2 linked regions of the Macaca fascicularis genome follow. The protein of the gene in region 1 interacts with the protein of each later gene in a biochemical or structural test. Links are inferred from orthologs where the notes say so. Each region holds a gene or a part of one and is shown in the gene's direction. Other genes may lie near its edges.

Region 1 (4,197 bases):
ATTTGAAAGTTCCTGATACTGTATAAAATGCATACATGGTGCGGAGGCTCATGCCTGGAATTAGCTGGGCATGGTGGTATGCACCTGTAGTCCCAGCTACTCGGGAGGCTAAGGTGGGAGGATCCCCTGAGCCCGAGAGTTACAGGCTGCAGTGAGCCATGATGGTGTCACTGCACTCCAGCCTAAGTGACAGAGTGAGACCTTGTCTCAAAAAATAAAAGATAAAAAGCATAAATGGGCTTTGGAACCGGATAGCTCTGGGCTCAAATTCCCAGCTCTGTCACTAACTGCCGCCTCTGTGGCATGTGTATCATGCCATTTCTCTAAACTGCCGTCTTTCGATTTGTAAAATGAAAGCAGTTCCTGTATTGCAGGATGATTATGAGGATTGGAAAATACCTTATATTTTAATGTAATATAAAGTTATAAAATATAAAATGCCCTCTGCTATATAATAATTCAGTAAATAGTAGTTGGTTTAATAAAACCAAATGAGCCGGGCGCGGTGGCTCAAGCCTGTAATCCCAGCACTTTGGGAGGCCAAGATGGGCGGATCACGAGGTCAGGAGATCGAGACCATCCTGGCTAACACGGTGAAACCCCATTTCTACTAAGAAATACAAAAAAAAAACTAGCCGGGCGAGGTGGTGGGCGCCTGTAGTCCCAGCTACTCGGGAGGCTGAGGCCGGAGAATGGCGTGAACCCGGGAGGCGGAGCTTGCAGTGAGCTGAGATCCGGCCACTGCACTCCAGCCTGGGCTACAGAGCGAGAGACTCCGTCTCAAAAAATAAAAAAAAATAAAAAAAAAATAAAACCAAATGAACAGAGTATGCCCAGAATTCAAATATTGATACTTAAAGGATGGTCATAAAACTCTTTAGTCCAGTGGCATGGCATCTGAGGCTGTATTTCACCATTCAGCATTTTGCCATGGGGTGAATCCATTCATCAGACTGACCTCTGAAGTTTCATAGCAGGATAGAAATATATCATAGATTGTTAAAACTTTATATTTCGGCCGGGTACAGTGGCTCACGCCTGTAATCCCAGTACTTTGGGAGGCCAAGGTGGGCGGCTCACGAGGTCAGGAGATCAAGACCATCTTGGCTAACAAGGTGAAACCCATCTTTACTAAAAATATTTTAAAAATAGCATCCAGGTGTGGTCGCGGGCACCTGTAGTCCCAGCTGCTTGGGAGGCTGAGGCAGGAGAATGGCGTGAACCTAGGAGGCGGAGCTTGCAGTGAGCTGAGATCCCGCCACTGCACTCCAGCCTGGGTGACAGAGCGAGACTCTGTCTCAAAAAAGAAACAAAGGCCGGGCGCGGTGGCTCAAGCCTGTAATCCCAGCACTTTGGGAGGCCGAGACGGGCGGATCACGAGGTCAGGAGATCGAGACCATCCTGGCTAACACGGTGAAACCCCGTCTCTACTAAAAATACAAAAAACTAGCCGGGCGAGGTGGCGGGCGCCTGTAGTCCCAGCTACTCAGGAGGCTGAGGCAGGAGAATGGCGTAAACCTGGGAGGTGGAGCTTGCAGTGAGCTGAGATCCGGCCACTGCACTCCAACCTGGGCGACAGAGCGAGACTCCGTCTCAAAAAAAAAAAAAAAAAAAAAAAAAAAAGAAACAAAAAAACAACTTTATATTTCATTTTGCAACGAGACATTTCGTAAATACATGCTGAAATACAGGGGGGTTTTTTGTTTTTGTTTTTTGAGGCAGGGTCTGGCTCTATTGCCCAGGCTGGAATGGAGTGGTGTGATCTCAGCTCACTGCAACCTCTGCCTCCTGGGCTCAAGCAATCCTCCCACCTCAGCCTCCGGAGTAGCTGGGACTGTGAGCGGCCACCACCACACCCAGCTAATGTTTGTATTTTTTGTAGAGATGGGTTTCACCATGTTACTCAGGCTGGTCTCAAACTCTGAGCTGAAGCAATCCATCCACCTGTGTCAGGCTCACCAAGTGCTGGGATTGCAGGCATGAGCCACTGTGCCCAACCATAGTTGGTTTTTTTGACCCCTCATTGGGTAATGATCAGGTAATCAGCAGCATTGAGGGAGCAGCAAGGTCTGTCGAATGGTGGGATTGGGGGGCTGGGCAGGCAGTGGCTTGTCAAGTAGAGCTTGCTTAATGAGGTGGGGGTTTTCTGAGAGCTAATTGGATTTGGAGTTTGGACCTCTACCTGCCCATACGGGAAAAGGCTTGCCTTGGTCAGGAGGTGATGGGAACACTTGATTTTCTAGGACCAAGTGACCTATGCTTGCCATGATCAGTTTCTGCTGTGCAAGCGGTAATAGACCAGGACATGTGTGCGAGTGGGCTGGGGGACTGTGCTGCTGCCGGACGCTAAAGATGGGAGAAGGTGGCCGGGCACCGTGGCTCACGCCTGTAATCCCAGCACTTTGGGAGGCCAAGGCGGGTGGATCACGAGGTCAGGAGTTCAAAACCAGCCTGGCCAAAATGGTGAAACTCCATCTCTACTAAAAATACAAAAATTAGCTGGGCATAGTGGCGGGCACCTGTAGTCCCAGCTACTCTGGAGGCTGAGGCAGGAGAATTGCTTGAACCTGGGAGGCAGAGGTTGCATTGAGCTGAGATCATGCCATTGCACTCCAGCCTGGGCAAGAGAGCAAGACTCCATCTCAAAAAAAAGAAAAAACACAAAAAAAGAGGGGAGAAGGTTGCTTCTCCTCGGACAGGGTCTGCGGAGCAGGTAGAAAGCCGAGGGTAGTGAGTACAAAGAAAGGGAATACTAGCTCACTCACTGAAGTGGGGATTGCTTGTTCAGAGACACTTGAGATTTCCAATAATTACCACTTTCCTTTTTTAATCAAAAAGTATCATTATCTGGGATCCTGTTTTACTTTCTGTATTCTCTGTTTTTCTGCACTGCTAAAAACACTTCTTCCTTCTGCCTGCATTAACCACAAGGAATCAGTCTGGTGGCTGGGGCTGGGGAGGCAGCAAGGGGCCATTTCTGTCACATCCCTAGAGCAATCACATGGGCAGGGTGTGCTGACCAGAGAACGGAGTTGTGCAGCTGCATTCCTAACTGGAAATAAAGTGCTCTCCTTATTCTCCTCCTGCAGGTCGGTGAGCTGGTAAAGGTTACGAAGATTAATGTGAGTGGTCAGTGGGAAGGGGAGTGTAATGGCAAACGAGGTCACTTCCCATTCACACATGTCCGTCTGCTGGATCAACAGAATCCCGATGAGGACTTCAGCTGAGTATAGCTCAACAGTTTTGCTGACAGATGGGAACAATCTTTTTTTTTTTTCCAGCTGCCATCTATACAGTTTTCTTACAGATGTCAAAAGCAGTCTAGTTTATATAAGCATTCTGTTACCTGTGATCTTTTTTTAGACTGAACTACTCCATTCCTAGTCTTCTGTACCATATTCAGGGTACGAACTGGAGGGCTCGTGTGTTAGCTTCTGAAATTGGCAATTGTAGGAGGTAGTGGCCGTGCCTGTGTGTATCAGAAGGGATAGGTATCTTGCCTCCTTTCTCTCAGGCAATGCAAATCACCCTGTGGAAAACCGATGGACAGGAAGGAGTATTACACACTGCTTACCCTGATTTATTCAGTGGTTTTGTTTTCATTCTGGAACCATACTATCAAATGGCGACAGACTGTTCCCTTCCACCCCCGGGAAGTAATGCACTGTGTGAATAGTATCAAGCAGGACTGCTTTCATTGTATGGAGCATGACCAGCATATGACTCATTCTGACATTTCAGATCCTAAGAATTCTAAGAACACTACTAGAAGCATTTGTTCCTTCCTAGTCGATGCTTCATACTTTTTCTTGGGATTCTTTTAGCCCTTGACATTCTTGTCCCCCAAACCTGTAAGTAGGTTAATTCCTAGGATAAGTGTGTATTTTCATTCCAGGTGAGAAGCAGAATGTACCGAGCACTTTATTCAGTGCATAGCTTTAAGCCAGTGTTGGATTCACTAAGTGGACAGCCAGTCTCCCAGCTCTCTGCCTTCCCCTAAAGGGTCGTAGTAGGTCACCCTTCTACAGCAGTTAACTAGAGTCCTAACTGATGGGATCCAGCAGGGCCATTTCTCTTGAAGGCCAGTATCCTATTAGGAGACTCTTGGAATTCTTAGGTTCTACTCAGAGTGGAAGGACCAATCACCTCTAATATTCTGTGGAAGGTTTTGGGGCCAAATTCTGCCCTCTGCATTCT
Region 2 (4,774 bases), on another chromosome or scaffold:
GATCCAGTCACCTCCTACCTCCCATACACATACATACACACAGTAGATATTCAAACCTGATTGAATAATTGAATCATCTGTTAATTCAGTAAGTATTTACTGAGCATCTACTGTGTACCAAATGTTGAAGACATAATGATAAATGAGACAGATGTCCTTGGAGGGTTTAGTCTAATGAGGGAACAAAAAAATAACTACACATATAATAATTATTTTGATTTATTGGTTGGACACCTGAAAGTTTTGTATCTTCGAAAATAGCACAACAATTGCACGGGATACGATTTTTTTGTCTGTTGTGTGAATGCATGATTTAAGAATGTGCGGGGGAGATAAGAAGGTGACTGCACCAGTGGCTTTGCTGGGTTATGCCAATGAATTATTACCTTTTTCTATTCTGTAGGGAATAAAGAAAGCAAGTGTTAGTGATGAGCGTTGCTGGGGTTGACTTTCTGTTTCCTTCCATTCACAGTCTCAAAAGCAGAACATAGATATTAACAGACAAGCCAAGTTTGCTGCAACCCCTTCTCTGGCCTTGTTTGTGAACCTCAAAAACGTGGTTTGTAAAATAGGAGAAGATGCGGAAGTCCTCATGTCTCTGTATGATCCTGTGGAGTCCAAGTTCATCAGGTAGGTGAAATTTCTTGGCGGCTGTCTTTCCTCTTTGGTTGGTGTTAGGAACGTGGGATCAGAACCACTGACGCGCGCCATTCATGCCGAGAGGCCCCGGATGAATGGCTGCTGGACACGACCAAGCAGCCGAGCCAAGCGCTGTCTTGGACAGTGTGATGGCAGCCAGTTTGGGCTCTGGGTCAGGGTGAACCTTCTCGCGTGTAGATTGCTATTTGTTTGTAGAGTTATAGCAGTTGCAGGTACACTCTGGTCATATCTTAAGAGTGCAGCTGAAGATTGAAGTAATACTTTGTTTCCTAAGTTGTCTTCATAAGATTTTATGTACCCTGGTCCCTCAAATATCACTATTTCCATTTTTCAAAATTTGGTTTCTTTGAATGCCACTTCTGTGACTTTCATCCTGTTGTTTTTTCTGCAAGATGATTGACTGGAATGCATCATTTAGAATGGTGCCTGCCACATACAGACTGTCAATTAATATTTGTTAAATGAAAACACTGTAAGTCTGTTATTCCTGCTTAGCCTTCAGTATAACTTTCTCTTTGCCCAGATGGAAACACTGTGGTTCAATTATGTATGAATTGTGTGTGTGTGTCTGTGTATATGCTAAAACTCTAGGATCTTCACTTGTATTATTCAAAATTTGAAAACTTAGTGTATGAATGATACAGAAAAATATGAGTGGATTTTATTCTCACTTCTGGTAAAGACTTTGTTTCCTCTTGACATGGGATGCAGTTTTTATTTTACAGTGTATTTGGTTTGTCATAGGTTTTGAAATAAACATGCATTGTGCTGAATTTTATAGTATTGTCATTCTAAATGAACAAATAGGCTCTTAAAAAAAAACCAACTTAGAAATACCATTTGCAAGTAATTCCATTACAGTGACAACCCAAGACATCCCACATTAAAACTTGGCAGGGATTTTCTGCTGTGGATGTTAATTGATGAGTAGCTGTATGTGATATTTTTGATATTTATAAACTCATAGTTGTCTGTATAGTGCACCTACGTGGTATTAATTATGAAGCAATGTGGATGTACATTTGGTACTCTGTTATTTGGAAAATTAACTTGCTTTTATTTCTCCCTTTTTCAAGTGAAAACTACCTGGTTCGCTGGTCCAGTTCAGGATTACCTAAAGACATAGACAGATTACATAATTTGCGAGCTGTGTTTACTGTAAGTGCACGCAGAGATGTTTGGTTGAATTGGCCACCATTCTAATGACTACTTTTAGTGATTTCTCTCGGCCTTCCTGCCACACTAGAACATGGGTCCCTGGGATGCCTGTAGTATCGGTTAATTTAGTATTACTAAGTAGAGTGCCTTTCCGGAAATCTTTTGAGTCTCTAGCCACCCTTAGAATGACCGTGACAAAGATTTACCCCATTACCATGGAATGTGCCTCTTAAATGTGTATCTTTTTGTTTTTTTTTTTTTTTTCCTCCAGACGGAGTCTTGCTTTGTCACCCAGGCTGGAGTGCAATGGTGTGATCTCAGCTCACTGCAACCTACACCTCCTGGGTTCAAGCAATTCTCCTGCCTCAGCCTCCCGAGTAGCTGGGATTATAGGCACACACCACCACACCTGGCTAATTTTTTGTATTTTTAGTAGAGATGGGGTTTCCCCATGTTGGCCAGGCTGATCTCGAACTCCTGACCTCGTGATCCACCCTCCTTGGCCTCCCAAAGTGCTGGGATTACAGGTGTGAGCCACTGCACCCAGCCCTTAAATGTGTATCTTAAGCTCACTTAACAGTAATTGATTATTGTTATTAAATTCCTTTCTGTCATATGAATAACTGATTAAAATTATAAAAATGAGTCTGAGAAAAGAGTCTCAATCCATTTTTTTTACTGTCCTTTTCATTGGAACTTGCATTGAATAATGGTTCTCCAAAATAATTTATGGAAACTAATATTTCCAGGACCTCGGAAGCAAAGACCTGAAAAGAGAGAAAATCAGTTTTGTCTGTCAGATTGTTCGCGTGGGTCGCATGGAGCTGAGGGACAACAATACCAGGAAACTGACTTCGGGGTTGCGGCGACCTTTTGGAGTGGCTGGTAATCCATTTCTCTGTGTTTCCTTGAGAGTTTCAGATCTTCACAGTCACTTTCAAAAGAACCACTGCTGAATGTTGATTGGTCAATGGGCAGCTTTGATTTATAAGCTTTTCTGCTAGAGAGAAAAAATATATTTATTAGTTATTTTCATTGTGGCTTCCAGTTGACCTGCTAGGCTCAGGATGTTCTAGGCCTCAAGTTTCAGATGTAAATCATATATTTGGTTTTAAAGTGGATCTCATCTTTCCCTGGGAGAGATCCTGACCCATATTCTCAGTCTGTAGGAAAGCCAGTCAGTGGAGGGTTTCAGGTCTTGGTGATGGACATCAGAATGGATTTGTGCAGGACAGTCAAAGCAACGAAGGGGAGGAAAGAAAGCAAACCGTGAAGAGGACGCAGTTAGCTTCATATTGGTGCGCTTCCTCCGCCACGTGGGTGCGCTTCCTCCGCCACGTGGGTGCGCTTCCTCCGCCACGTGGGTGCTCTTCCTCCGCCATGTTGGTGCTCTGTTATTTTTGGTGACAGCACGAGGAATGTGAAAGACCAGTTATCTCTGTTGAGGAAAGATAAAGGCATACCAGGAAGTTCTAATTATTTGCCCTATTTCAATGTCACTCTCATTTTTCATAGTTTTGGGAAGTGGTTTTCTCTCTTTAATGGTTGCTACAATTTCATTACTTAGCACTCTGATATTTATTTTATGTTTGTGATTTTTGGGATTCATGTGAATATTCATGTGGGAAAGGTTCCTGATTCTTGACACACAGCTGGATTTTTTGTATGAACAGCCGTGGAAGACGTTCTTTGCCTTGGCTACCAGGAAACTCTGAACTTAGTCCATTCCCCCCCTGCCTTTTGAATAAACATTATTTTTAGAAAGGTTTTAGGTTCAAGCAAAATTGAACAGAAAATATAGACAGTTCCTATATATTTCTCCTTCCTTCCCCCTGCGTCCCCATTATCAATATCCCCCATAGATTGGTACATTGTTTGCAGTTGGTGAACCACATTGACACATCGTCGTCCTGTGAAGTCCATAGTTTACATTAGTGTTCATTCTTGATGTTGTGCCTTGTGTGGGTTTCGACAGTTGAATAATACTGTATATTCCCCATGGTAGTGCCACTGGGTAGCTTCACCATCCTAAAATTCCTATGTGCTCTGCCTGGAATTTTTGGAAAAATATTTCAAGTCATTTAAATGATTTACTATATCATAAGAAGTAAGCCATAGCAGTGATATAGACATAATGAGAGCAGCATATTAATTCAGTTTACTTGAATTCAGTTTACCCATAGAGCTAACTAACGGAGTGTTCCAATGATCTTACCATTTGTGAGTGAAATGGTGAGGGTGAGGTTTTCTTTCTGAAGTCCCCACAACCTTGGGCTGGGGAAATCCTTTTGCATTTTCATCTCTCTGTCTTTTTGTTTTTAAGAGACAGAGTCTAACTCTGTCACCCAGGCTGTGTGATCACAGCTCACTGCTGCCCTGACCTCCTGGGCTCAAGTGATCCTCCTGCCTCAGCTTCCTGAGTAACTGGGACCACAGGCGCGCCCCCTCATGCCCTGCTAACATTTTCATCTCATGACTTGAATACATACTTGAAAATTGCCGCTCTATTTGTCAGAGCCTGTAGCATCTTTTACATGTAATCTAGTGTTATATTTAATTACCTTTCATTTTCCAGGATTTTTTTTTTCTTTTCCATCTTGATGGTAGTTTTAAGAAAATATTTAATTTTTGTCTCAGACATAATTGGCTCCATTTGAGCAATCAGAGACATTTTTGATAACACACGGAAGTCACTCCTCTTTTCAACAGCAGACCTACAGATTCTCTGGTTATTAGATTACAAGATGGATTATGTCATAAGTGCCTACGAATGCGTAGTTGTATTTCTTAAAGGTGAAATCTAGACCACAGGCTGACAGTTTTTACCTTCTTTTGATTAAAATTTTTGGAATTTAAAAATTTGGAATATTTTTCAGTTTTCATTGGATTGACAGTCCATGAAGGTCTAGGTACTAATGGATGGAGAGGCTGATGGGCATGGGCTCAGCTGACACCA

What was found.
Region 2: the proteins of CRK (region 1) and DOCK1 form a complex in vitro, tested with the Homo sapiens proteins (3 studies listed by BioGRID and IntAct, with this or other methods). The link is inferred for Macaca fascicularis from reciprocal best matches to the Homo sapiens genes CRK and DOCK1.

Annotation. Positions count from the first base shown.
Region 1 is NC_088390.1:1,530,913-1,535,109, reverse strand, and holds part of CRK (adapter molecule crk), read left to right. Parts: intron 1-3,089; coding exon 3,090-3,227; 3' UTR 3,228-4,197. UniProt on the Homo sapiens protein: Involved in cell branching and adhesion mediated by BCAR1-CRK-RAPGEF1 signaling and activation of RAP1.
Region 2 is NC_088383.1:135,959,552-135,964,325, forward strand, and holds part of DOCK1 (dedicator of cytokinesis protein 1), read left to right. Parts: intron 1-472; coding exon 473-630; intron 631-1,736; coding exon 1,737-1,818; intron 1,819-2,567; coding exon 2,568-2,703; intron 2,704-4,774. UniProt on the Homo sapiens protein: Involved in cytoskeletal rearrangements required for phagocytosis of apoptotic cells and cell motility. Along with DOCK1, mediates CRK/CRKL regulation of epithelial and endothelial cell spreading and migration on type IV collagen.